Linked DNA regions of Bombyx mori. The protein of the gene in region 2 interacts with the protein of the main gene of each other region in a biochemical or structural test. Links are inferred from orthologs where the notes say so. Each region holds a gene or a part of one and is shown on either strand. Other genes may lie near its edges.

Region 1 (3,562 bases), on a different chromosome or scaffold from region 2:
CAATATCTCGGCTGTATGTTAAGAGCGCGTACAACTTGGTCCACTTGAAAGAAGTGAAACCTCTTTTGCGGTGTGTAGTATTGTGGTTTTCTTCATTTTTCACCCTTAATTCAAAATTATCTTGTAATATTGGGAGTGCTGTGTATAAGAGAAATGACCTAGCTCGCTTTATCCTTTCCTTCTTTCCACGGTCGAGTGGTTCGCTAGACGCTCTGTCTGTTTTCTCACTCTCGCTCTTCCTAAATTGTATCTTTTTTCTCTAGCCCCAACGAGTCTGTCGTGAATTAAATTTTACTCTCACCGCACCTAAAGAAGTTTCACTTCAAAAATACTAATGCCAGAGGTAATTTATCTAACCTGTTTTTTACATCCATGGCGAATAAATTATGCACAATACGCTAAAAGTATGGGTGTTGGTGTAACAATTGATGGCGCATAATTTCAAACTTGAAGTTTGTAGATTATTAGCACGGGAAAAGGTATGGAGGAGCTGCTGCAACACTTAATTTCCGTTGATCAGTAAATGGAATTCACTTTTAAACACGCAAAAAAAAAAATCATAATCAACACAAATCTAACACCCTAAGTGGTCATCAGGTTTTTGTTTTGATCTTTTAGGCGGACGAGCATGCGGCCCACCTGATTGTGAGTGGTTGCCGTCGTCCATGGACGTAAACAATGGTTAGGGGCAGAGCCAAGCCGCTGCATACTAGGCTATGGGATAATGGTAGTCATCATGGCCTAAAGGATAAGACGTCGGGTGCATTCGTATCGAGCGATGCACTGGTGTTCGAATCCCACAGGCGGGTACCAATTTTTCTAATGAAATACGTACTTATCAAATGTTCACTTCCATGGTGAAGGATTAGCAAAGTGTAATAAAAATCAAACCCGCAAAATTATAATTTGCTACGCAGTTTGACAAATAATATTACACGCATTACTAACGCGTTTCACTGTGCTACTGGTCAACGAAAGCAATGAGAGCTCGTCGAGAAAGCGTTTATTCCAGTTGATCAAATCCTTAAAAATGAACGAGCGTCTTAAAATGGAGGAAGAATTAGGCTGTGAAAACTAAATGAACTCCTTTCTTTAATTTTATGAAAATGAAATTGCTCGACACCTATGAAATAACAGCCAGCAGCAATTTAAACAAAATAGCTAGACGTAGCTTCACGGGCTCTTTCAAGAAATTCGCTGAAGTACCAGTAAATTCCCATCAGCTTACTAAGAGGATATTTAATTTTATCTCACCAAAAACCTACGATCTTACGGTCTCATCTTACCTCTTTTAATTCTATTTCATTTCATTACCTATTCAATTAATTTCATTTGATTACATTCAGTTTCATTTGATTACATTCAGTTTCATTTGATTACATTCCATTACAAATAAATATATTTTTAGACGTCTTTAAAAAGTTTTGGGTATAGTATAGCCTGCATAGCTTAAGTTATCTTTGCCTATTCTATTAACGACTCAAAAAAATCTATTTGTTTTGTAGAACTTCAAACTGTTTGAAGTTTTATGTCCCGGGAACTTAGAATTCTTAGTCCCGGTCATAACAATGAATTGAATTAAAAAGTACGAATCTTCTCTCAGAAATTAAGTATCTAAATATCAAGTAATACTATGCTATCAAGTGCTAGAGCTGCTCGCATCGCGCGTGAGGTGAAGAATTTTGAAATGAAGCCACCTTGGGGGATTAGTTGTTTTCCGTTAAAAGACGATCAGTATGACAACCTGTCCGTTATTCTTCTTGGACCAAAGGGATCTCCTTACGAGAAAGGAACGTTCAAATTAACTGTGTCTATCCCGGAAAGATATCCGTTCGAGCCTCCTTTAGTTAAATTTATAACACCAGTTTATCATCCTAATATTGACAATGGTAGGTACTAATAAGTTTTATAATGTTGTAGGACACACGGTTCACCTGGTATTAAATGTTTAACTGTAATGTACTGGGCTATACTGACTGACGGTTATTGTGGACCATTGTGAAATACGCGAAGATCGAACGATCACGACAGAAATAGAATGGTGTTACCTATTTGGGCTCACTTAAGACCTACCGCCATGCCTTTTGTTTCAGGCGTTCAGACAGTGCTATTCCAGGTCAACATCAGACTGTGTTATATTTGTATTAGATTTAGTATTATATTTGCCTGAAATAACAATAAGAAGGAAGTGATTAAGCACTTGTATTACACTTAAGTAAACTTGTAAATTTGGTTTATTGAGGATGGCGAGTAATCATTGGTCTCAGTAGGTATTGAGATAGAATTATTATAGTCATGTTTATAATTTAAAACAATAACTATGAATTAAGTACTATAGAAAAACGTACTAAAATGTTTATCTATCATAAACTACAAAAAAAACTAGCAACAGCAAATAAAAATAAAACAATACACTTTCCAATATTCTAATTTATTTTGCAGGAGGAAGAATATGTATGGACCTGTTAAAAATGCCACCAAAAGGTACTTGGTTACCGACGATCACACTGGAAACGTTACTTGTTTCATTACAATCACTCCTCGCGAACCCAAACCCTGATGACCCACTGATGATGGATATCGCTTATGAGTATAAATACAACATGGATACTTTTATTCAGAATGCTAAACAACAAACTGAGAAATATGCTGTGTGATATCAGGACTAATGATAACATAAAAAATGTTAACTTGAATTTATTATTAAGTGAAAAGGAATAGAGTTTTATGATTACAGGCCAAAGTTGTTGACCCACTTGATTTAGAGTACTTAAAATGTAGGCCGTATTCATTGTTTTTATATGCCCTTTGTTTTATATGTATATGTATAACTTTCAGGATACTTATAGGATACTTTCACAATTTTAGATGCATCTCATCAAACATTGTCTTGATATCTGCAATGAGTATTAAGCTGTGTATCTAATATATGCTAACAATATATTTTTATATGATATATTCCATTATTAATAGAAAATACAAAATTAGTACCTGTTATAATAATTTATGAAATTGATAAGAGAAGTGCCCATACAATATTAAAAAAAAAGTGTTTGTTACAACTTTTGTTTTTCTTCTGATTTTCTGTTTTTATTTTTATTAAACTGTTTGTGTTAGATCAAAGGTGTTGGTACCACAAACCTGCATATTTCACAAAGTAGTTGTGGGTATAACCTTCATCATGGTATTCATGGTATAACTGTGTACAGTGTGAAGCAAATCTATGGACAATATTTCTGTACTGTGTGCTGCGCTAGAAATAAGACAACAGGGATATGAACTCACTCTGATAAACTGCATACATAGCCATAGCATAGCATCAATTGCAGGAATGCAACTGACGATTTGGACTTTGAAAGTGAATACATATAAGTGTCAATATCTGTCACAAGACTGGTCCATTTTACCTTTGATATAGTCGTTTTTGCATATATGGACTTGTTCTTTTTTCCCTACCAATTTGCTGGTAGCATTAGAAGTTATTCCAGCTACGACCGGAAGGGTAGGTGAGCACACAGGCTCAACCTAAGAGAATTTGCTAACACTAGCATTAGCAGTTCCT
Region 2 (2,511 bases):
TGCTTGCTATGTATTTATAGTAATGAGCAACATACGTTAGTCAGTCAGTGGTTTACATGCAGCGATCCACCGCGGTCGCTGACGCGAATAAACATGTGATTATACCTAGTGTTTTATTGACCGCTCCGATGAGGTTTATGGAGGACAACACGCAACGGACAAACAACTAACACACACACCTCCTCCATCTTCTCCATAAAAACCTCACAAGGTCAACTTCTACAATAGAAACGAAAAATTATACTCATTTCACTCCATTCATTTTATTTGTTTCTCTTGAAAAAAACAAAATGTAAATCTCCAAAATTGTTAAATTACAGAACGCTATAAACGAACGCCCTCACAGTTTCGACGACTGCGTGATATGGGCGAGACATCATTGGGAGAACCAATACGCGAACCAGATCAAGCAGCTCCTTTACAACTTCCCGGCGAAACAGTTGACCACGAGCGGAGCGCCTTTCTGGTCCGGACCGAAGCGTTGTCCTTCACCCCTCGCCTTCGATCCTAATGATGAACTACACGTCGATTACATTGTTGCCGCAGCGAACCTCAGGGCTACGGTATATGGAATCCCATCCTGTGTTGACAGGGAAAACATCGCCAAGCTTGCCGCTAGCATACAGGTACGTAAAACTCTGAATAAATCATTGTTTACGGCAAGAGTAACTCTACTTATGTTGCATCTTGGATCATGTGATAATAGGTTGTAGAACAATTTGATTCATACACCTGGTGCATCCGCTTCTATTTAATAGATATTAACTAGTATCACAGGCATTGTTAATGAAATATCAGACCTATATTTGTTAAAATTTATTATTTTCCTATAAACTAGAACATTACAAACAACAACGAAACAAAAATGTATCCTAGACATTTGATGGTGGTTATTTTATTCTATTTTATAATTCAGGTACCGAAATTCAGCCCCAAATCCGGCGTGAAGATCGCGGTGAGCGACGCCCAGTTACAGCAAAACAATGACGAGATGGATCAAGACAGGGTTAAGAACATGATCGCAGAGCTGCCGTCTCCAAGCAAACTCGGATCTCTTAAGATCACACCGCTAGAATTCGAAAAAGATGATGATACAAATTTCCACATGGACTTCATCGTTGCCGCCTCCAACCTGCGGGCTACCAACTACAAGATCACGCCAGCCGACAGACATCGCTCTAAACTCATCGCTGGCAAGATTATCCCTGCCATTGCCACTACAACATCCGTGGTGGCTGGCTTAGTCTGCCTCGAACTTTACAAACTGGCCCAAGGCTTCAATAAGCTGGAAGTGTTCAAGAACGGCTTCGTCAACCTTGCCCTGCCCTTCTTCGGTTTCTCTGAACCGATTGCGCCGTCGACCAACACCTACAATGAGAATAAGTGGACATTATGGGACAGATTTGAAGTTAAAGGAGAGATTACATTACAGCAATTTTTAGATCACTTCAAAAACGAACACAAGTTGGAGATCACCATGTTGTCTCAAGGTGTGTGCATGCTTTATTCGTTCTTCATGCCCAAAGCCAAGCGGCTGGAACGATTGAACCTGCCAATGTCGGAGGTGGTCACAAAAGTGTCCAAGAAGAAGTTGGAACCGCATGTGAATGCATTAGTTTTTGAATTGTGCTGCAATGATGATGACGGGAATGATGTGGAGGTCCCGTATGTAAAATACACTCTGCCTTAGTCTATTTAATGTGATCTTGAGCCCTCCCAAAGTGGTGCTGAAAAATAATAGTTACCACTACGCAGAGAGGGTTCTATTTAATACCGTGATAGTTAATATAAATTGTGTGATTATATTTGTGCTTCAGAATTTGCTTCAGTCTAAATTTCAAATAATTACTCATAGTCGTTTCGTTTCATTCGTTTGCTCACTGTCAAATGATGATGTGCTGCATTTTTATTATTATTTTACGTCGTGAAAAAGTTTTTTACCAAATTCGATATTTTATTGTAAAATCAGATGGGTCTGTATGTGGAACGAAAAATAAATAAAAAACCAACATACTTTTGTTTCATTTATTATGTAAAAAGGTATAATAACGAAAATATTCCGGACATCTTGCTCGGTAGTGCCAAAGTCATATGGTTCAGGTAGAACTTGATTATTTGAATCTCTTCACAAAAAACGTTAAAAAAATAAACAATCTTTATAAAATATTTCAAAAACAAAGTATTGTATTTTAGGTTACATTTAGTATGCATATAGGTATAAAAGCAAATACGCCTCGGACACAAAACTCCAATAACGAGTTAGTGAATTTCTAGTGATGTAAATTATATTTTGACAAGATTTTAATTTGTGTCTTTTATCAACAGTAAATATTGAAAAGAAATTGACATAGATTTTCGTAAAACTTGATGAGCCCTGGAGTTCGTAGAGATAAGGAGCACTCTACGGAGCCAAAATTAGAAGATTGTTTCTTTACATTAATCGATGAGTAATGTTTATCGGCTGAGGCTGTATTTGTTTATAGACCCTTACATATTGGGAAAGCATAATTC
Region 3 (4,150 bases), on a different chromosome or scaffold from region 2:
TGGAATGGGAAGGAATTTATGAGTTAGCCCCGATCGTAATCGAGAATGTGTTCAATCCCGAAGTTAGACAGTTCCGGCGCAACGAGGGATTGGAACTTTTGGCGGGCCTGTATCGAGCCTTGAAGAGAAACAAACCCGAAACGGATAAAGCGCTCGCTTGCCTAGATAATTTGGAAAATAAATTTGATATTACATTAAGAAAAACACTGAAGGGGCAACAGCAATTGGCTGTCAAAAACAATTTCTTCCTATTACTAAAAAAATTGATAAACAGCATGAAAATTTTCCACGAGAGCTGCCATGTTAAATGTAATTTAGATTTTAATACTTTGTTAGAAATCGTAGGTTCTTGTAAGGGTACACTAAAAGCGAGTGAAAATAATAAGAAAGCTAATGCGATTAACCAAAATAGTAAAAATGGTGAAATCGCGAGTAAGCAGCCTAAAAAAAATTTAAAGAATAATATAAAAAACAAAAGAAAACTAGAACACATGAACGGACACGCTGATGCGCACGGAAAGAAAAAACGAAGAGATTCTGAAACAGTTGATTTGTAAAATATTTTTTGTATAATTTATCATTTTCACAATGAATATAATTATTTTACATAATTTAAAAATTTCGTCTTTCTTTCTTCCCTTTAGTTTAGTAAAATATTAACTCAAAATATGCATTCAAGCTTTGACTACCTAACTTTGGATATAAGTTATTCAAACATAATTTATTTAAAACCAAAGCTAGTATGTACATAGCGACATCTATAAAAAAGGTTATTACACTCTGTGAAACGCTCAATAGGTGGCGTTATAAATATCCGCTCTGAGTTACTAGACCAAATAAAGTTATTAGAAGATTGAAGTGTGGAACACATGAAATACCATTGTTTTGGATAAAATATTTCTTAGTTTTTAAGGGCATGCACTTTGTGACAGTTAAGGGATTCAGTAACTAGACTAGACTCTAATACTTTTAAGTTTTGAACAATAGCTTCATTTCTTTGCCTCCTTAAAAATTACAGAAAATGTTGACTAATCTCATCGCATTATTTAAACCTAATCAACAGAATTGTCGTAATCAATATGAAGTTTGGCGTGTAGAAAGGCTCAAACGAAGCGATATGTTTTCTTAAATTCACTAACTTCTTATGACAATATAATACAAAGCATTTACCAGAGCTCAAGAGCTTTCCTACGTTACTTAGATAGTAAAAAACAATATTGAAAGAATAATAAAATTATATTTTAGCTGTAAACCAAACCATATAATTAAGATTAATCAGTGACAGTAGAATGACACAGAAAATATATGGCAACACAAAATCAACCGGAAGTAAGTAGTAACTCATATGTTTCACAACCTGCTCAAAACTCTGCCAGCCATCTTTTGTCGAAAAATCATTTGTTTCGTGTCTTCAGGGTAAATTTCACAATTGTAATTAATGTCAGAGCCACAGTCTTCGCTTTTATTAAAAAAGCAATTAGCTGGTAAGTTCTTATTTAACATAAAACTCATGTATAATATGCCAGTCACCGCGCTAGTCAAGTTCTGAACGAAATTCGTTGACCTTATCGAGTCAAATTTGGTAACTATTAATTGTAGTATTTAACGCATTTATAGATTATATTTCAGGTCTAATGGAGTTAGGTTAATTAATGAGGAATAAACCTGCCAAATAAAATCAATATCCGTTGCGATGACAGGTACACTTTGCCAAAGTCAAACTGTAGATCGAGTGTATTTACGATTTGGATTTGGCAAAGGTTCACATTACTGGCGAACAATGCGGTTAAATGTCCATAATCTTCCGATCTGTGCATTGTCGTTTGTAAAATGAGTGTCTTTTAAATCTTTTTTTTATTTCAGAACTGAACAAAAACCCAGTAGAAGGCTTTTCTGCTGGCTTAATAGATGACAATGATATATACAAATGGGAAGTCCTCATTATTGGTCCCCCAGACACACTATAGTGAGTAAATACCCAAGTTATATATAGTTCAAAGCTATATCTCTCAGTAATCACTATTATTAATTGTTTGCATATTGTAATGTTTATAAAAATGCTGGTGGTATGGTGTATAGCCTTTAAGATGTGTAGATGTATATCATCCTGCATATTTTTTGAAAGAAGCTTCAAGTTATTCAGTTCTGATGGTTCAAGGCAGGTGGCAACATTCACATTGTGATGTCTAAAGACTCCTGTAACCACCATACAGGCTGCAAGTTTTTTAACCATCTATTTAATAAAGAAAAGTATTAAATTATGAGACATGTTGTTTATTCTTAATAAAAATAATTTTCAGCGAGGGAGGTTTCTTTAAAGCACATTTAAATTTTCCCAAGGAATATCCTTTGAGACCACCCCGGATGAAATTTGTGACTGAAATATGGCATCCAAATAGTGAGTATGATGATAATTTTTTTTAGTTAATAATAGTAGAGTATTTTTAACATTTTAAGTTTAGATTACTTTTATATTGACTTAAAGCTAAACAAACCCATTAAGTTTGTTTTGCGAGTGCTTATCATAAATTAGATGTCTAAGTATTTTTTGTTTTGTTTTGATACACTGAATTAGAGAAATATAGCATTACTGTAAAGTGCTTCACTCATTAAAATCTAAGGGTAATTTGATTGGTACAAATTCATTATGATTACAGCTAATAAATATTGTATAGAAAATAAATATGAAAACTACAGTATTTATAATTATTGAACGTATTGTTCATCCAAACGAGTCTGTACTGTCCTGACTATTTCTGTTTCAAAGCAGTGTCATTCAATACAATTGAGACTGACTTGATGTCTAAAACTGGATAATGACATTTACAAAATGGGATCTTCACTCTGGTAACTATAACACCAGGTGGACCATTACACAATTGACTCCATATATCCAATAAATAAATAAGAGTTTAATAAAAAAGCAAAGGTGAACTTCTTAGTACCATGGATTTACTATGTGGGTGCCTTCTATTATATTTTAGAGAGGAATTTATGGTGCAGGTTTAAGGAGTCCCTACAAATGTGGATTACACTCGAATTATTTATGTAATTAATGTAATGAAAATATGACTTTCAGTTGATAAAAATGGTGATGTCTGCATATCAATACTTCACGAGCCAGGTGATGACAAATGGGGTTATGAAAAAGCTTCAGAACGATGGTTACCTGTGCACACAGTTGAGACTATACTGATCAGTGTCATTTCAATGCTCGCTGATCCAAATGATGAGAGTCCCGCTAATGTTGATGCTGCAGTAAGTGGTTTTTTTTTTGCACGTAAAATGTTTCCATTTTAATTCAATAATTTCATTGTAGTTGTAAATGTTTTTGTTATAGAATATTATATTATATATTACTTAACCTATTAAATGCATTTGTAGCAATTTATATAGCTTAGAGCAGGCAGAACATGATGCTAATATACCAAATAGTTGATAGGCAAACTGTTGTTTGTGTTGTAATGTCCAAAATTAAAACTGATATTTCAGTTCGCTTTCTTTAATTGAATTTAATAATTTAATTCATTAATGAATGAATTCACGAATGAAATTTAATTCATTAATATTTAAAAATTAATATCATTTTAAACTTTCAGACACACATTTGTATATCATTAGGGAATTAAGCAGGTAGCGATCACTAACATATTATTTAAACACATCACACACAAAGACACTACTTTTGTACTAAGAGAGGCATAATATAATCTTCCCTAACTAGATATCTTTACTATTCTCGATCATTATTTTTCTGAAGTATACCTTAAAATTTTGGATATGTATATTTTTTTAACTCTTGGATTTCCCTAACAAAGAAATAAAATATTTATCAATACAAAGTTGTACTTTTATCTATAAAATATAAAATGCTTCTGTAGGAATAATTTGTATTATGTAGATAGTTGATTTAACTAACTCTCTTGTACAAACCTTTTTTTTTATTGCTTAGATGGGTAGACGACTCACAGCCCATCTGGTGTTAACCTAGCAATGCTCAGAAACAAATTATGCATAAGCAAGATATAAGCCAGGCAAAATTCAAATTCAATCTTAGTACAATTATTCAAACTGATAGAGAATAGAAACTGTTCTATAAATATAGAATCTGAACATTTAATATGTGGGCGTACATACCTTTACGCACATT
Region 4 (3,500 bases), on a different chromosome or scaffold from region 2:
AATCGTTTTTTTTTAATCTATTTCAAGATAAAACAAGATTATGAATCATAATGATAATAAAATATTTTCACATCGTTTCGATTAAATATATGACAACAGGGGCGTGGCTATTGTTTCTTGCTAAATAAGGAACGGTGTTTATATTTATCTTAAGCGTCCGTGGCCTTATAAGCTACTACGTCCGTTAATTATAGAGAAATGCAACAACTGCAGGCTATAGTCCGAATAAAAAAATGAAAGTATAAGCAAATAAATATTTTTTCCAAAGGCTTACAAAATTTTCAATTTGATTTTTGAACGCTCTTAATAGATTCAACAGAAATCACTAAATTGAAATTGGGACAGGTCAGCTGGTGTTGCCAAAAAAATATTCTAAAAAAAAACTTCCAAATTAGTAGAAAAAATAATCGATGTCGCATAATTGAAAACGAAATTTTGCGTATGTACAGGTAACGTTCATAGGCAACAACATTCCCGTTCACCCGCACGTGTACTCGAACGGGCACATCTGCCTTTCGATCCTCACCGACGACTGGTCGCCGGCGCTGTCGGTGCAATCAGTCTGCCTCTCGATCGTGTCGATGCTCAGTAGCTGTAAGGAAAAGGTATTATGATCTATTTTAATAACGGACCTTGACGCAATCTCTGAATAAGAAGATAGTGTAAACTTAAGAAGCGAGTTATTTTAATGCATCTAGATGTTTATCCAGTAAAATAACTCTGAATAAGAAAGTAGTATATAGGACATGGGCCATTTTCGACCCAGCTACTCGTGCTCTCAAGGACATTAGTGAAATATCTATAGAAAAAAACATTTCATTTTTACATACTTATTATAAAATTTAAGGGCATTTTAATGGTGGGTTAATTAAAATCATAAATAAAAAGAAATCAGCATGACTAATCTACATTGATAATATTGAAGGAGTTGCCATGGGTAAAATATATTATTTATATTTTAAACAATTCACATTAAATATTCTTAAAAAAACATTATAATGCAAAAAACTAGCAAAATATATTAACATATTTAATTAATAGATTTTAAAATTAATATAAAATATTATATCTAAACAAAAATCTATTTTTATACTTTTAAATCCGTGAATAAATCATTAAAAATTACATTGATGAACAATTATTGATCTTTAACAAAAAAAAAACTACGCTGTCCTTGAACTTCGTTTAGTGGGCCGTGCAAAGTATGGAGAGTGGCCCATGTCCTTTAAGAAGCGAGTTATTTTAATGCATTTGCCCAGTAAAAAAAACTTAAGAAAAAAGAATAAACACTACTACGTCTGTTCAATGCGAATTCTAAACTCGAACACTCGTTTGATGCGAAAATAATCGGGACATCTTCTCCAAAAACTTTAACATTTATAATTCGGAACACTATTAAAATTAGTCCACTGTCATTCGCATAATGACGTCCTCGACTATGGCCCATAATATCAATCGTAGTTTAAACTAATATCGAAGTTTTAAACGATCACTGAAGATCAACTCGTAATTTAAATCAGTGTTAAACTCACCTCCGTAGCTTAAATTATCTCAAAGCTTAAACCGTGCGTTGGGTTTAAACGGTTCTTTTCAAAATGGCCAAATATTTCGCATAAATCATGATTGATATTATGGACCTAAGTGCATTAATAATTATACGTCACTTTTCAGCTTTCCCTGTTATAAAAAGCTATGCAAATGATGAATATTTTGTTTTCGTTGTGTCGTCTTGAAAAGAGTGGTACAGTCGTTAATATCTACAATTGAGACTACAATTCACCTTGTAATTTCAATAGGAAATTCCAGTAAACACATAACTCCGGGATAGCTTGGAGTTCATTCAACCGTCTGTGCAATTAAAAGAAATCCTTTCGCTAATTATTGCACTCGACGACAGCTGATCTTATTGGTGTTAAGTGGTTACAGACATCACAACCTGAGTGCGGAGAACCACTATGAGACACGGCGTGGAAGCAACATTTAGATTTAGACCATTGGAACTTTAGAATTATAGAGACCTATTTCGAAATTTCTGGATATCGACTTTAATTCAAAAATTGATCTAGAACGACCTTTTTCAGCGACTGTTAATAATCAAATTACCAAAAGTAGCTTATAAAGGGACACGCTTATCTATCGGTCTCTTTCACTACGTTCCCCTCCTCTACGTCTTTTCGGTTTGAAAACTTTATTCGATGTTTTCCAAAAAATACATATTTTGAGTTGGGTCTCTATAATTTTAAAGGTGCGATTTATATTGTGTGACAGCTGTACCACTCTTGAACCCGGAACCCATCGATTCGCTTCATAACAGAAGTAATTTTTAGTCATTAAATATATAAAATCCAATTTTAACATTCCAGAGACGACCGCCTGATAATTCGTTCTACGTTAAAACCTGTAATAAAAATCCTAAGAAAACAAAATGGTGGTATCATGGTGAGTGAAGCAAGATTTTATTTTTCATTGTCCATTCGTATCATATATTGCAACATCAAACCGTCTTTATCTTAAGACTTGAAGTCATTTACATTAGAGATATCCAGATACCAGCATCGAATTTCACCACACCGATATTAATGAGTGATCGTGATGTGAAAATTTGAAATGGTTTTAAAACATATTTCGTGGGTAGAACAAAAAAAACATGAATATAAATAAAATTAATAAGAGCTTAAAACCCGTGCATAACTCATATTATACATTAAAAAAAAGTAGCAATCGAACGGAGACATTTAACCCCATATCTACTTTATGTAATACTATCAAAATTATTCCGCTTTTTTCACCCACCACAATTACCCACTAAATTATAAATTCAAAAGTATATTTAATAAAGATGGGCGCGAAAATACGAGAATGACAATACTAAATTCAAATGTTGTTTTTTTTTATTGCGTTTCGACAAAAAGTAAAATCAAAAAAACTAAGGAGTCATTAAAATTGCATAAATTTAATATAATGAATTTATTCTGTACTTTTTGCGCTTCGATAAGACGATACGAACGGTATCTATGAAAATACAATGAATATTAGATACCGCTCACCTCGACAAGTAGCGCCGAGATCTGACGCAGCGAAGCCATCATTGACCGCTCTCTCAATTATTCCAGATGATTCGGTGTAGCAAGCCATGCGGTTCATTCTATCGAACATGGATGATTAAATCTCAGTATGTGATAAGTGTTATAATAATGAGGATGTACGGTGCGCGAACGAGTCCGGGACGGGGCGCGTCGAACGACGGACTTATTGTCCTCAACAAGGATCAAAATGTCCGTCACAAACGCGATCATATCGCACATACAGAGCTATAATGTCACTTATGCGATTCTTGCCTGAGAAAATCAATTTTTTTTATAGTTATTAGTGAGACGTTTGCTTTTACTGATACTCTTCCCCCTGAAGCTCTTCCCCAACTTACGCAATAAAAAAAAAAATCTTTAGTAGAGAAGAACTTATATAACAGTAATAAAATGTTGATTTTTCAAATTCTTCTC
Region 5 (4,015 bases), on a different chromosome or scaffold from region 2:
GCAAAGACAGGAGAAAGCCCTCCAGTTACCGACCGATTACCTTGCTCTCGCACGTGGGCAAGTTGTTCGAGCGGCTGCTCCTGAGGAGAATATCGCCGTATATTCTCCTCAGGCCGGAGCAATTCGGCTTTAGAAGCGGCCACTCGACGACTCTGCAACTGACCCGTGTCCTGCATCACTTGGCGGACCGGCGAAACTCGGGCCAATACACGGTCGCGGTCCTTCTCGATATCGAGAAGGCCTTCGACCGTGTGTGGCACGAGGGGCTGGTCCACAAGCTGCGGGACGCGGGCCTACCGCACGCTCACGTGCGACTGCTCGGGTCGTATCTGGAGGGCAGAACCTTCTTTGTCGCGGTCGAGGGCGCACGGTCTTCCGTGCGTCCCATTACGGCCGGGGTTCCCCAGGGTAGTGTCCTATCTCCTATCCTATACGCCCTCTATACCAATGACATCCCCACCCTGGAGGGTCACCTTCGGGCGTGGGAGGAGGACGTGAAGTTGGCCTTGTTCGCTGACGACTCGGCCTACTTCTCGTCCTCTCCGTTCCCCTCTGCAGCCATCATGAGGATGCAGAGGCTTTTGGATTTACTGCCCCAGTGGCTGGACCGTTGGAGAGTCGCGGTCAATGTGGGAAAGACCGCGGCCTTACTCTACGGTCCGGTCCGTATCAGAGTTGTCCCAAAGAAACTCAGCCTCCGAGGTGTGAATGTCGAGTTCAGGACCACGGTCCGGTACCTCGGATGCGACATCGACCGCTCTTTGAGCATGGTCGCGCACGTCAACCGAGTCATCGGTCAGGCCCGCGCGGCCATGTTCTTGTTGCGGCCGGTGTTTGCGTCCGGGCTTCCGACCAGGACCAAACTCGCCATTTAAAAGACATACGTCCGTTCCCGCCTCACATACGCTGCTGTGGCCTGGTATCACCTGTTGTCGCCGTCCCAGCGATCTAGGTTGCAGGCCCAGCAGAGTCTTTCCCTCCGCATTATCGTCGGGGCCGGGCAGTACGTCAGAAATGACGTTATTGCCCGGGACCTAGGTGTGGAGTCGCTCGTGGAGGCTGCACCCCGTAGGTGCAGCCTCATTTCCATGAAGGGCTTTGACCCCACCCCCCACCCCCTTTTGGGATGGGGTGTTCTTACCCGCTGCAGTCCTCCCCCCCATCAATATTGTATAACGATGGGGAGAGGGGGAGAGGACTGCAGCGCGGAGTGCGGATTTGCTCTCTCCCCCATATTAGGTTAAGTTAGATTAGGATTAGGTTTAGGTGTGACGGCGCGCGCTGTCCCGGCACTCCACGGAGTGCAGGAGCGGCGCGCTGTCGTCGCTTAGATGTAAGTTAGATTAAGTTAGGTGTACTTTAGGTTAAGCTAGGATAAGATAAAATTGTAAAAAAAAAAAAAAAGAAAAAAAAAAAAAAAAAAAATAAAAAAAAAAAAAAAACAATATGGAGGAGAGCAGCAGCCGCCCCCGGAAGAAGAAGGAAGAAAGAAGATGAAGAAGTGAAGACAGAAATCGTCCCACCACTTACCTCGAGCCTGTATACAGTCCATCCCGCAGTGCATCACCCCTGCCTTAATAGGCGGGGAGCTACAAGTCCGGGTAGAGGGGTTTCCCCGAGGCCCGCTCCGCGCCCCCGTAAGGGGACGCGACGACCCCACGACTGCAAATTCAGTTCGAGACAGCGAGCCGACGAGTCAAGACCTCTCCAGAAGAAGAGGAGAGAGCCGTCGAACAAGAAAAGACTCGCTCCTACGCCCTGCGCCGGTCAAGCCACGAGGACCGTGTGAACGCCATACTTGAAGCCTTCGTTATTTTCCTCGAACCAATCCCAGCACCCGTTCCGCGACAGCCACTGCGGCAATACTCGAGCCACCACGTTTCAACGAGTAAGAAGTCTAAAAATCACACGTGGTGGCCGAAACCTGAGCGGTGGCCGTCCGGAATATTAACCTATTAAGTTAACCTCTGGTGTTACGTTGCTTATTTATTTAAGCTAGTAATAATAAGCTTATTAAATCAAATTTACCCGCTGATTATTGACACCGAAAGCACATTATTGGGTGGGCTAACCAAAAACCAAAATCATCCAAAGGAATCTTTTAATCTTGGAATGCCTTGCCGTAACCACAGGTTACTATGGGATACTGCATTTTGTTATACGAAAATGCAAACAATGAATTAAGAAAAAATGTGTGTTTTATTAATTAAGTAGTTATTTGTGCAATAAGAAACTTTGCTCTCGTGTAGCACACATAACTTCTACCTCAGCAGTGAGAAAGTGAGAACACATAACTTAGGAGACATAGATGAACAGGAAAAGATTGAAATAACTAATAAATTCCAAAATCTAATTTCGAAGGAGTTTGTTTTTTCACTCGCTTTTTTATACGCATGTGAAAGAGATAGAGCACAGTAAACTTCGAATGTTTCAAATTAATGGCTGAACAATGTCAGTTCGTGGCACTGAAGATTGAAAACTTAAAAAGCTACTTTGATCCAAGCTCGAATCAAAATCGCGTTTTGTTCAATGTTGTCTCACAGCAAAAGCTACATATTTGAGCTGCTGAGGTGAAAAGGTATTTTAACGGTCTATTTTGATACATATGGTCCATTCCATTTAAAGTTTTTTTTTGTGATTATAGGTTATAAGGATAAGGATAAGATAAGGATATAAGGCTATTCCATTCAAACAAAAAATATTTTGTTTTGTAAACAAAAGTAGCTCATTTAAATATCGGTTTTACAATACATGTTTGTTCACTTTTTAGAGTAGTCTGTTAGGCTTTTCTTTTAAACGCGAGATACGTTGCACTATAAGTACCATTACTGTCAACAATGTTAAATGTCTACCTTGCTTGCTCTACTCTGTGCCATTGTGATATTGCTATTTGTCGTATGTACATTACATACCCATTTATTAACTAAAACAGATTGGTTTTAAGAAATGAAAACATTTTGTATGTAGTCATTTGCTATAAAACATTTTACTCGAAGAACTGTAAACACTCAAAAGTTAACAATTCATGTGAACATGGCAAAAACAAAGGTGACAGGAGCCACTAGCAGATTGAAGCAGGATTATTTGAGGCTCAAGAATGACCCAGTACCATATGTTACGGCCGAACCTGTGCCGTCCAACATACTGGAATGGCATTACGTCGTTAAAGGGCCGGAGAAAAGTCCCTACGAAGGGGGATATTATCATGGAAAGATTATTTTCCCAAGGGAATTTCCGTTCAAACCACCTTCGATTTACATGATAACACCGAATGGCAGGTTCAAGACAAACACACGATTGTGCCTCAGTATTACAGACTTTCATCCGGACACTTGGAACCCTGCTTGGTCTATTTCTACGATCCTTACAGGTCTGTTGAGTTTTATGTTGGAGAAGACTCCTACATTGGGGTCCATTGAAACTTCAGAATACCAAAAGCGATGTTTGGCTGCAGAATCTCTAGAGATAAACATAAAAAATAAAATGTTTTGTGAATTGTTCCCTGAATATGTAGAGGAGATTGAACAGCAATTAAAACAACGACAAGAGGCAATGTTGTTGAATCAAGACAGTGGTGCAAATGAAGTAACCTCTGAGCCACAGTCTAGTATGAATTGTATTTTGACAAATCTGTTTGTTCTTGTAGCTTTTGTATGCCTTACTTACATGGTCAAACATGTTTTAGGATCATATGAATAGTCTTAAATTTATCTTATTGAGCAAAAGAAACAAAATTCACATCTGCCGGCTGGTCTTTTGTTTTTTAAATGTTTATAATTACATTTATTTGCTCTACAAATGCAATGTACATATTGTAATTTATTTTGTAAATAATTGTTATTCAATCTTGAAATAAACCCATGTTTGACCTTAAATAAAACTTGATTTTATGTAGGTAACAATGTATAGAGTTTAACATGCATTGCATGAGGAATGTCTACTAAGGTTTTGCTACTTTTACCGTGTCATTTATTTTTAAATGTATTCAACAACAAGCCTTTATTTGAAGACCGAA
Region 6 (4,042 bases), on a different chromosome or scaffold from region 2:
ATTTAGGTTTGAAACTGACTACTTATTACTCTGAATTCCGTTCTTTGTGTGTATTGTGAACCGTTTTCATAAGTGCTCACTGTTGATAACTTCTTAAAAATATATTTTCGTTATTGATGAACAAGATAGCTCATTCTTTTGAAGTGACTTTATTAAATTTGTAATAAGCAATTGCTGTGTGTTAGAATTTTACCTTTACACCTTTAACAGCACACTTTTAATTTTATTATGATTGTCTAATTTGGTTACTTATACACTAAAATGTTAGAATTACATTAGTTTTCTATAAAGTTACACGCCTTTTATCTTGTAATTAAGTAAACAAATGCATTATTTTTATTGTTTGGATAATGTTAAGCATCCTCAGTAAATCATTTATAGAATTTTATTAAGTACTGGTAACGACTGTACACAATGAAGTGTGTATTCGGGAACAACGGGCGCCCTTCATAGCCTTGCACGAGTTATTTATGTATGCGAGAGCATCATGTTCTTATTTCAAACACCATTTATTTTTAAATTCATAACATAAACTACTATTGGATTGAGGTACTTAGCATGCATTAGACAAAATTTTAACATAAACATTATCACAACGCACCTTTAAGCGCCAGGTACATAGGTGGAACCCGGTGACATAGGGAGTAAATTAACATAACTTCGTCCTTAGACTGTTTATAACACTGGTCATACCTCAAAATAAGACCTAAAACTTACTCACTATTATTAACAGCAAACATCACGAAACTAAATTAACTTTTATTTTAATATTGCGAATAGGAAATCACAGACGGTAATAAAATTATTGCCACACATTCAAACCAACCACAGTACACAACTTGACTTGAAGCCTATTGAAATGCGTTTACGAATGCGAGGTCTGTTTCTCTTTAAAATCTCATGCAAAATGTTGAGTGATCTGTGAGATTTCTGAACGAAATACAGAGAAAGTAAAATTCATAGAGAAAGAAAACTACCGAAAATTATTGCAATGATATGGTAATACCGTTAGTAAGTGAGAAGAGAATGTCAAATTTATATTTTTAGTCTATGTTCGACGTCAGGGTGTGGTAGAATTTAATTTCAGATATAGTGGTAAACATTTGCTCGGAATACGTTTTTGAAAACTCTTTGGTAGAATATCCTGGTATCAATCTCTTTATTTCATCGCCTGCGATCGTGCGCTTTAAACGTTTTTGAATCCAGTAAAGCAATAAGTGAAAATTAAGTAGAATTTTAACAATGGCAAATATAGCAGCCAAACGTATAAAAAGAGAGTTCAAAGAGATAATGAAAAGTGAAGAGGTATGGATAATAATTTAACTAAACTTTATATTTGTTTTGATGTTTAGAATGTAGAACTGGAGTTACTTGCACTTTTGTTAAAATGTCATATTTTGTTGGAATGCATTATTATTATTTAGATAGTTAAATTGCCCAAGAAACTAAATTGTTGGATTGTCTCGATATAATAAAACAAAGAACAAATAGCCAGTTCAGAACAATGTGTGCGTGATTCAGCAAACTTGTAGAAATCATGTTTTGTTTAAATTCAAAACGTTAATGCTATTTTTAATTCGTCGAAAAGGAATTATTTTACTGCTTCGTAATAGTAAAATTAGCTTTTCAAAATACATCTATAATGTTTTTCGTGATTCATACGAGAAAAAGTAAACATTTTGTTTTCTATATTTTCTACCAATGTTTTTAATAGAAACAATACTTATATTACCCACATTGATCTTTATAAGTAATTGAAGTTGTGTTTAAAATAAAATAAAAGATTTTATCCGATTTATGCCCAAGCAAAAGTATTTTTGGCTTATTTATCAAATCACAGTTATGACACTGGTGGCTTCAGGCAACCATTTACTTCCAAAAAGCCAGACATAGTACAGGTATTTTTACATTATTTTGGATTTATTCCCTCATTATTGATTGCCATTGAAATAGAACTTGTGTGTGGGGCACCAGCATCCCCTTGTATATGTGTTCAGCTTACCAAGTAGCAATATTTACACATAACATACCGAATTTTTTTAAATTAAATATCTGTAGCACTATTGTCATGGACAGATTGCCTTATTTATTGCAATTGTAAGAGCACACCTGCGTGCAATGCATGTAATACATTAATGTACCGAACATGATCCAGGCGATACTAAGCTAACAGCATTCATAATCCACATTTTGATTACAATAGTAATTGTCCTCATAAACATGAACTAGACGATGACCGAGCTTTGCTCGGTATTAATTTTTTTTTTGATAAATTGTCTTTCGGTTGGCTTAACAACGTCATCTGTGGAAATAACTTTAGTGTTATTGTGTCTTTAAACAATTATGAAAAATAGTATTATTATTCGCCAATATATGTCGGGAAGTCATAAAGTTGATTATCGATAAAGTTGATTATTGAAAACACAAGTAAAACAACATTTCCTAAAATAAATTCTAGCTAGATCGATTTATCGCTCCCTGAAATCCCATGTATACTAAATTTCATAAAAATCGTTGGAGCCATTTCCGAGATTCAGATTATATATATATACAAGAATTGCTTGTTTAAAGGTATAAGATTCTGTGTTTGTGTAGACTAAGAATATTAAATATCTCAGTCCTAGCCCAAACCCAGCAAAAACTGAATTTTTCATTAGACAAAGTTTTTGCACTTCCTGCAAGTATGTGCTCTCCAATTAGCAAGTATCTTTTACTGCCTAGGTTGTATCTGAAAGCTAGCATGTGTAGTAAGAAGGTTACTCCTACTTAAAATATCTGCACTGCATTAGCACCAAGGCCCAATTTTTGTTTATTTATATATAGTGTAGATTATTGGAACTATCTTCTTATTGAGATCCATATTAAGAGTTTTTCAGGAATACCATTCATTAAATTGAATTACCAGGGCTCTTGCATTTACTTTTCTTAACCTTCTGTACTGAAATAATATACTGTACAATGACACATTGTGTAATTGTGTTAGTCATATTTGTATATCTAAAAGTGCATACTTGCTGCATTGTAAGCTTGCACAATTTCTTATCTCTCTCTAACCTTTAGCTTCTGCACGGCTGCCCACTGAGATCTTCTAGCACCTCACATCTAAATGGAACAAATGTTTATGTTTCTGCAAATATAAACAGCAGGGAAAACAAAGAGGGTTGTAATTGCCAGGAGGAGTGGGATTTGCTAACAACTGCCTTAGCACCTCTAAAGAAAACCTGCCATCTCAAGGGCAATTGCTTCACGAATTCATCTTCTACCAGACCGGAATTGCGCCCCACTGAGAAGATCTGGCGAGAAATTTAGCAGGCTCTAAATGTTATAGAGGGTAGATTTACTTTGAACTCTGACGAGTTTGATGAGTTCGGTTAGCAGGGTTCCTATACTTGCTCCTAGTGTTAGAGTTGCAGGTATCTAATGCAAGAGTTATTGGATCAGATAGATCTGTAAGGACGTGTCTAGAACGTCAACGATGACTGACTCCTGTGTGAGTCTGTGGCGATATACTTGCTCCTAGAGTTAGAGTTGTAGGTATCTAATGCACGAGTTATTGGATCAGATAGATCTGTAAGGACGTGTCTAGGACGTCAACGATGACTGACTCCTGTATGAGTCTGTGGCGATGGTGGCGGATGTGATTTTCATCAAGATTCATTATCATTTCTTCAAGATCTACATATTGCGATGTAACATCATATTACTTATATCTCAATCAATTCTAGGGCTTTAACAGCCTTCATAAAAAGGAGGCTATTTATCAATTCAGCTCTGTTTTTTGTGTTAATTCAAAAGTTTTTCTCGGTCAACTGATTTTTATGATTCTTTTTTTTTTTATTATCAAATTTCAATTTTTATCGAAGTCTGAGCAGTCGTTTTTGAGTTATCCTTATTGATCTATATTTAATTGACATTGATTACATTGATCAAATTATCTCAAAATCAAAAAATGATCTAATTTTAATTTTTAAATTTGGTTTTCTTTTTTTTAATTTCGGTATCGTATTCATAAAGCTGTTTGGAACCCATTTTCGTCCTGAAA
Region 7 (2,678 bases), on a different chromosome or scaffold from region 2:
ATAGGTTCTCAAAACCCTCTCTACCACAGCTACTCAAAACTAGAATTAATTAAGTAGGAAATTTGTTCTGTAAATTTTACATTGCAGTACCAAGCCCGTGATGCTTTCCTCGATTGGCTAAGCAGGTCTCATAAAGTTTAATGTTAAAAACCTTTATATGAATATAATTATTGTAGTTTAACAAATTGTAACTTCAACATTTATAAATACAAAACATTATTTCTGTTAAAAGTTTCATATCTCTTTCATGATAAATAAAATGACCAGAGGTCAATCGGTTTGTTAATTGACGCTCCTTAAGTCAATATAATTGATATAACAAGCAAAGTCTAATAAGGCTTCCAAAACTAGTTGGCAACATTCTAATATTTTATGCATGAGCTTTGCAGATAAAAGTTGATAAAAATGTTTGTTAAAAGTGAATATATTATATAACATTATAAATATAATTTGCGAATAATAAAATACCGTACCTAAACGTGATATCCATTTCAGCATTTACTTAGCATCTCATTTAGATATTGATATAAAATAATCAAGAAATAAAATATTAAGGAGGGGGCAGGTCCAGAGTTTTCCTTACGATTTCTTCGGCTATTTTATTAAATTGTTCTCTGTCTTCTCTCCACATTTTGGCAGCATCGACATTGGCTCCACTTTCGTCGTTGGGTTCTGAAATATGTTATTATTGAACAAATTCAGCTTCTGTCTACATTAATGATACAATAATTTATTTAGGGGTAAAAAATATATATTGCTGTTTTGGAATTCAAATTGTAAATTTTAAAACCCACCTGCTAACATGCTGACAACAGAGAGCAGTATTTTTTCGACACTTTGTACAGGTGACCATCTTTCAGCACTGGTTTCGTAGCCCATTGGATCATCACCTGGTGCATGTAAGATTGATATGCATACCCGACCATCAGCATATACTGTAAATTGAATAAATTTAATTAATTTCATGTTTTTTAAAGTTTATAATCTTAGTAGGCTGACGGCATTTTCCATTTTTCTGATGATGCGTGGTCATCGTCGTTTGCGGCAGCAATAATAAGGAGTGCCAACACACTACTTGAGACAGAAAATACTTCACACCTCATACACATGATACATTTCGCGAAACATCATAATATAGAGAATAGACATTCGTACTAGAGCCTGTCACACAAATGAACAATGAAGACCTACAGTGGACCAGTGGGTGGTTTATGGCCTTTTTTTCTTTCTTTTTTTCTCCTACCTATGCTGATAGCCTTCAGTGTGCAGTAAAAATTAACCCAATTTTGAATGCAGTTGGAACAGCGCCCCTAGCGGAAAACGTAGGCAAACGATCCCATTGCATGCAAATATGAGCTAACTTTTACGCTATTGAGAACGTTAATAAACTAGAACTAAGCACACAGAGGCTATTTCAGTTTCGCCATAACGTATGGGTGAGCTCACAGGGTTCAAACCGGTGTGATGCTAGCACTGGCCCTAGCAAGGACCGTGCTTCGCAGAATCTACCACCAGATCGGAAACGCGACCCGCTGAGAAGATCCGGCGAGAAACTCAGTGGGCTGCGTCTATGGGTTTATGGCTATAACTCTTCCCCAGTGATCTTTCGAGCAATGAATTATGCAATTAAAAATGAGATCGCAGAATATATAAATTCTTCTCAGTAAAGATGCAGAAACATACAGTACATTTCTAGAGAACAAAAGTTTTTCCATAGGGCCATGTAGCTCGTCATGAGTAAGACTATGAGTACCTACCTACCTACTTAATGATTGTTGTTATGTTAACATTGAATTTTGTCAAAAACATATTTTACTAACCTTATTTAAAAAAAACATACTAGGTAATAGGATTTTAACTAAGACAATTATCTCAAAAAATATTGTTTATTGATAATGAAACCATTTGCCTTTCAATTTATTCCGAAAGATGGTAAGTTTTTGTCAGTTGCTCTCTTAATTGTAAAAAAGTAATCCAATTTTAATACCAAATTTAACTTTATATTTATGAAAAAGAGCAATGTAATCATTTCATTTTTGAACTGCAAATACATTTTCATGCCATCAGATGTGCATTGTCATTGCAATTAAATACAAGGTTGTTTATAGGTTATCAAATACATATTATTTTAATTTAATAGTTTTATTTTTGTTATTGAAACATAGTTGCAATATTGCAATTTTATTAATTGATAACATGTGACCTCCTTAATAAAAATAAACAATGTTATCAATATATTTATGCATATAATGATGAAATGACTTTTAAATAATAATTTTAAAGCTGTTTTTTTAAACATCTAATTATATTCTTTATAAATATTTGAATAAGTATGTACATAGGTAGTATTTATAATTTTCTTGGACATGTTATTCCATACCATGAGTTCTAGAGAAGTTAGTATTAAAATTAGCTTTACTTTCAATTCTTGATACAGAAACACCATTTTAGACCGTATATTACTGAGCATTAAAAAACAATAAAAAAAGTGTACAGGTATGTCTGCCTCAAACTACTTGATAGAAACTAGAACAGTAACAAAATCTTGGGATGATTTTGGTGCTTTGAGAAATATATTCTGGATAAATTTTCTGTTCAATTTAAAATGTCAATCCTTCAACCAACTTATCTTCACTGGTCATAATTTATAGTCACTTGCCTAATATACTTTCACTAGA

The links.
Region 1: of the proteins of ubiquitin-like modifier-activating enzyme 1 (region 2) and ubiquitin-conjugating enzyme E2 T, one has a biochemical effect on the other in vitro, tested with the Homo sapiens proteins (4 studies listed by BioGRID, with this or other methods). The link is inferred for Bombyx mori from reciprocal best matches to the Homo sapiens genes UBA1 and UBE2T.
Region 3: of the proteins of ubiquitin-like modifier-activating enzyme 1 (region 2) and ubiquitin conjugating enzyme, one has a biochemical effect on the other in vitro, tested with the Homo sapiens proteins (3 studies listed by BioGRID, with this or other methods). The link is inferred for Bombyx mori from reciprocal best matches to the Homo sapiens genes UBA1 and UBE2G1.
Region 4: of the proteins of ubiquitin-like modifier-activating enzyme 1 (region 2) and ubiquitin-conjugating enzyme E2 W, one has a biochemical effect on the other in vitro, tested with the Homo sapiens proteins (5 studies listed by BioGRID, with this or other methods). The link is inferred for Bombyx mori from reciprocal best matches to the Homo sapiens genes UBA1 and UBE2W.
Region 5: of the proteins of ubiquitin-like modifier-activating enzyme 1 (region 2) and ubiquitin-conjugating enzyme E2 J2, one has a biochemical effect on the other in vitro, tested with the Homo sapiens proteins (2 studies listed by BioGRID). The link is inferred for Bombyx mori from reciprocal best matches to the Homo sapiens genes UBA1 and UBE2J2.
Region 6: of the proteins of ubiquitin-like modifier-activating enzyme 1 (region 2) and Ubcd4, one has a biochemical effect on the other in vitro, tested with the Homo sapiens proteins (9 studies listed by BioGRID, with this or other methods). The link is inferred for Bombyx mori from reciprocal best matches to the Homo sapiens genes UBA1 and UBE2K.
Region 7: of the proteins of ubiquitin-like modifier-activating enzyme 1 (region 2) and ubiquitin-conjugating enzyme E2 G2, one has a biochemical effect on the other in vitro, tested with the Homo sapiens proteins (5 studies listed by BioGRID, with this or other methods). The link is inferred for Bombyx mori from reciprocal best matches to the Homo sapiens genes UBA1 and UBE2G2.

The regions. Positions count from the first base shown.
Region 1 is NC_085126.1:11,811,434-11,814,995, forward strand, and holds ubiquitin-conjugating enzyme E2 T, read left to right. Parts: upstream 1-1,495; 5' UTR 1,496-1,633; coding exon 1,634-1,889; intron 1,890-2,442; coding exon 2,443-2,657; 3' UTR 2,658-3,062; downstream 3,063-3,562. UniProt on the Homo sapiens protein: Accepts ubiquitin from the E1 complex and catalyzes its covalent attachment to other proteins. Catalyzes monoubiquitination. Involved in mitomycin-C (MMC)-induced DNA repair.
Region 2 is NC_085114.1:15,613,383-15,615,893, forward strand, and holds the end of ubiquitin-like modifier-activating enzyme 1, read left to right. Parts: intron 1-320; coding exon 321-626; intron 627-916; coding exon 917-1,690; 3' UTR 1,691-2,011; downstream 2,012-2,511. UniProt on the Homo sapiens protein: Catalyzes the first step in ubiquitin conjugation to mark cellular proteins for degradation through the ubiquitin-proteasome system.
Region 3 is NC_085122.1:9,586,214-9,590,363, forward strand, and holds the start of ubiquitin conjugating enzyme, read left to right. Parts: upstream 1-1,350; 5' UTR 1,351-1,438; coding exon 1,439-1,484; intron 1,485-1,863; coding exon 1,864-1,966; intron 1,967-2,300; coding exon 2,301-2,398; intron 2,399-3,079; coding exon 3,080-3,258; intron 3,259-4,150. Other genes in the region: myb-binding protein 1A, read left to right, coding at 1-557. UniProt on the Homo sapiens protein: Accepts ubiquitin from the E1 complex and catalyzes its covalent attachment to other proteins. In vitro catalyzes 'Lys-48'-, as well as 'Lys-63'-linked polyubiquitination. May be involved in degradation of muscle-specific proteins.
Region 4 is NC_085117.1:6,909,219-6,912,718, reverse strand, and holds part of ubiquitin-conjugating enzyme E2 W, read left to right. Parts: intron 1-449; coding exon 450-605; intron 606-2,363; coding exon 2,364-2,439; intron 2,440-3,113; coding exon 3,114-3,127; 3' UTR 3,128-3,500. UniProt on the Homo sapiens protein: Accepts ubiquitin from the E1 complex and catalyzes its covalent attachment to other proteins.
Region 5 is NC_085127.1:11,027,151-11,031,165, reverse strand, and holds the start of ubiquitin-conjugating enzyme E2 J2, read left to right. Parts: upstream 1-1,215; 5' UTR 1,216-3,033; coding exon 3,034-3,699; 3' UTR 3,700-4,015. UniProt on the Homo sapiens protein: Catalyzes the covalent attachment of ubiquitin to other proteins. Seems to function in the selective degradation of misfolded membrane proteins from the endoplasmic reticulum (ERAD).
Region 6 is NC_085107.1:6,308,503-6,312,544, forward strand, and holds the start of Ubcd4 (ubiquitin conjugating enzyme 4), read left to right. Parts: upstream 1-1,242; coding exon 1,243-1,305; intron 1,306-4,042. UniProt on the Homo sapiens protein: Accepts ubiquitin from the E1 complex and catalyzes its covalent attachment to other proteins. In vitro, in the presence or in the absence of BRCA1-BARD1 E3 ubiquitin-protein ligase complex, catalyzes the synthesis of 'Lys-48'-linked polyubiquitin chains.
Region 7 is NC_085107.1:15,239,403-15,242,080, reverse strand, and holds part of ubiquitin-conjugating enzyme E2 G2, read right to left. Parts: intron 936-2,678; coding exon 795-935; intron 673-794; coding exon 551-672; 3' UTR 1-550. UniProt on the Homo sapiens protein: Accepts ubiquitin from the E1 complex and catalyzes its covalent attachment to other proteins. In vitro catalyzes 'Lys-48'-linked polyubiquitination. Involved in endoplasmic reticulum-associated degradation (ERAD).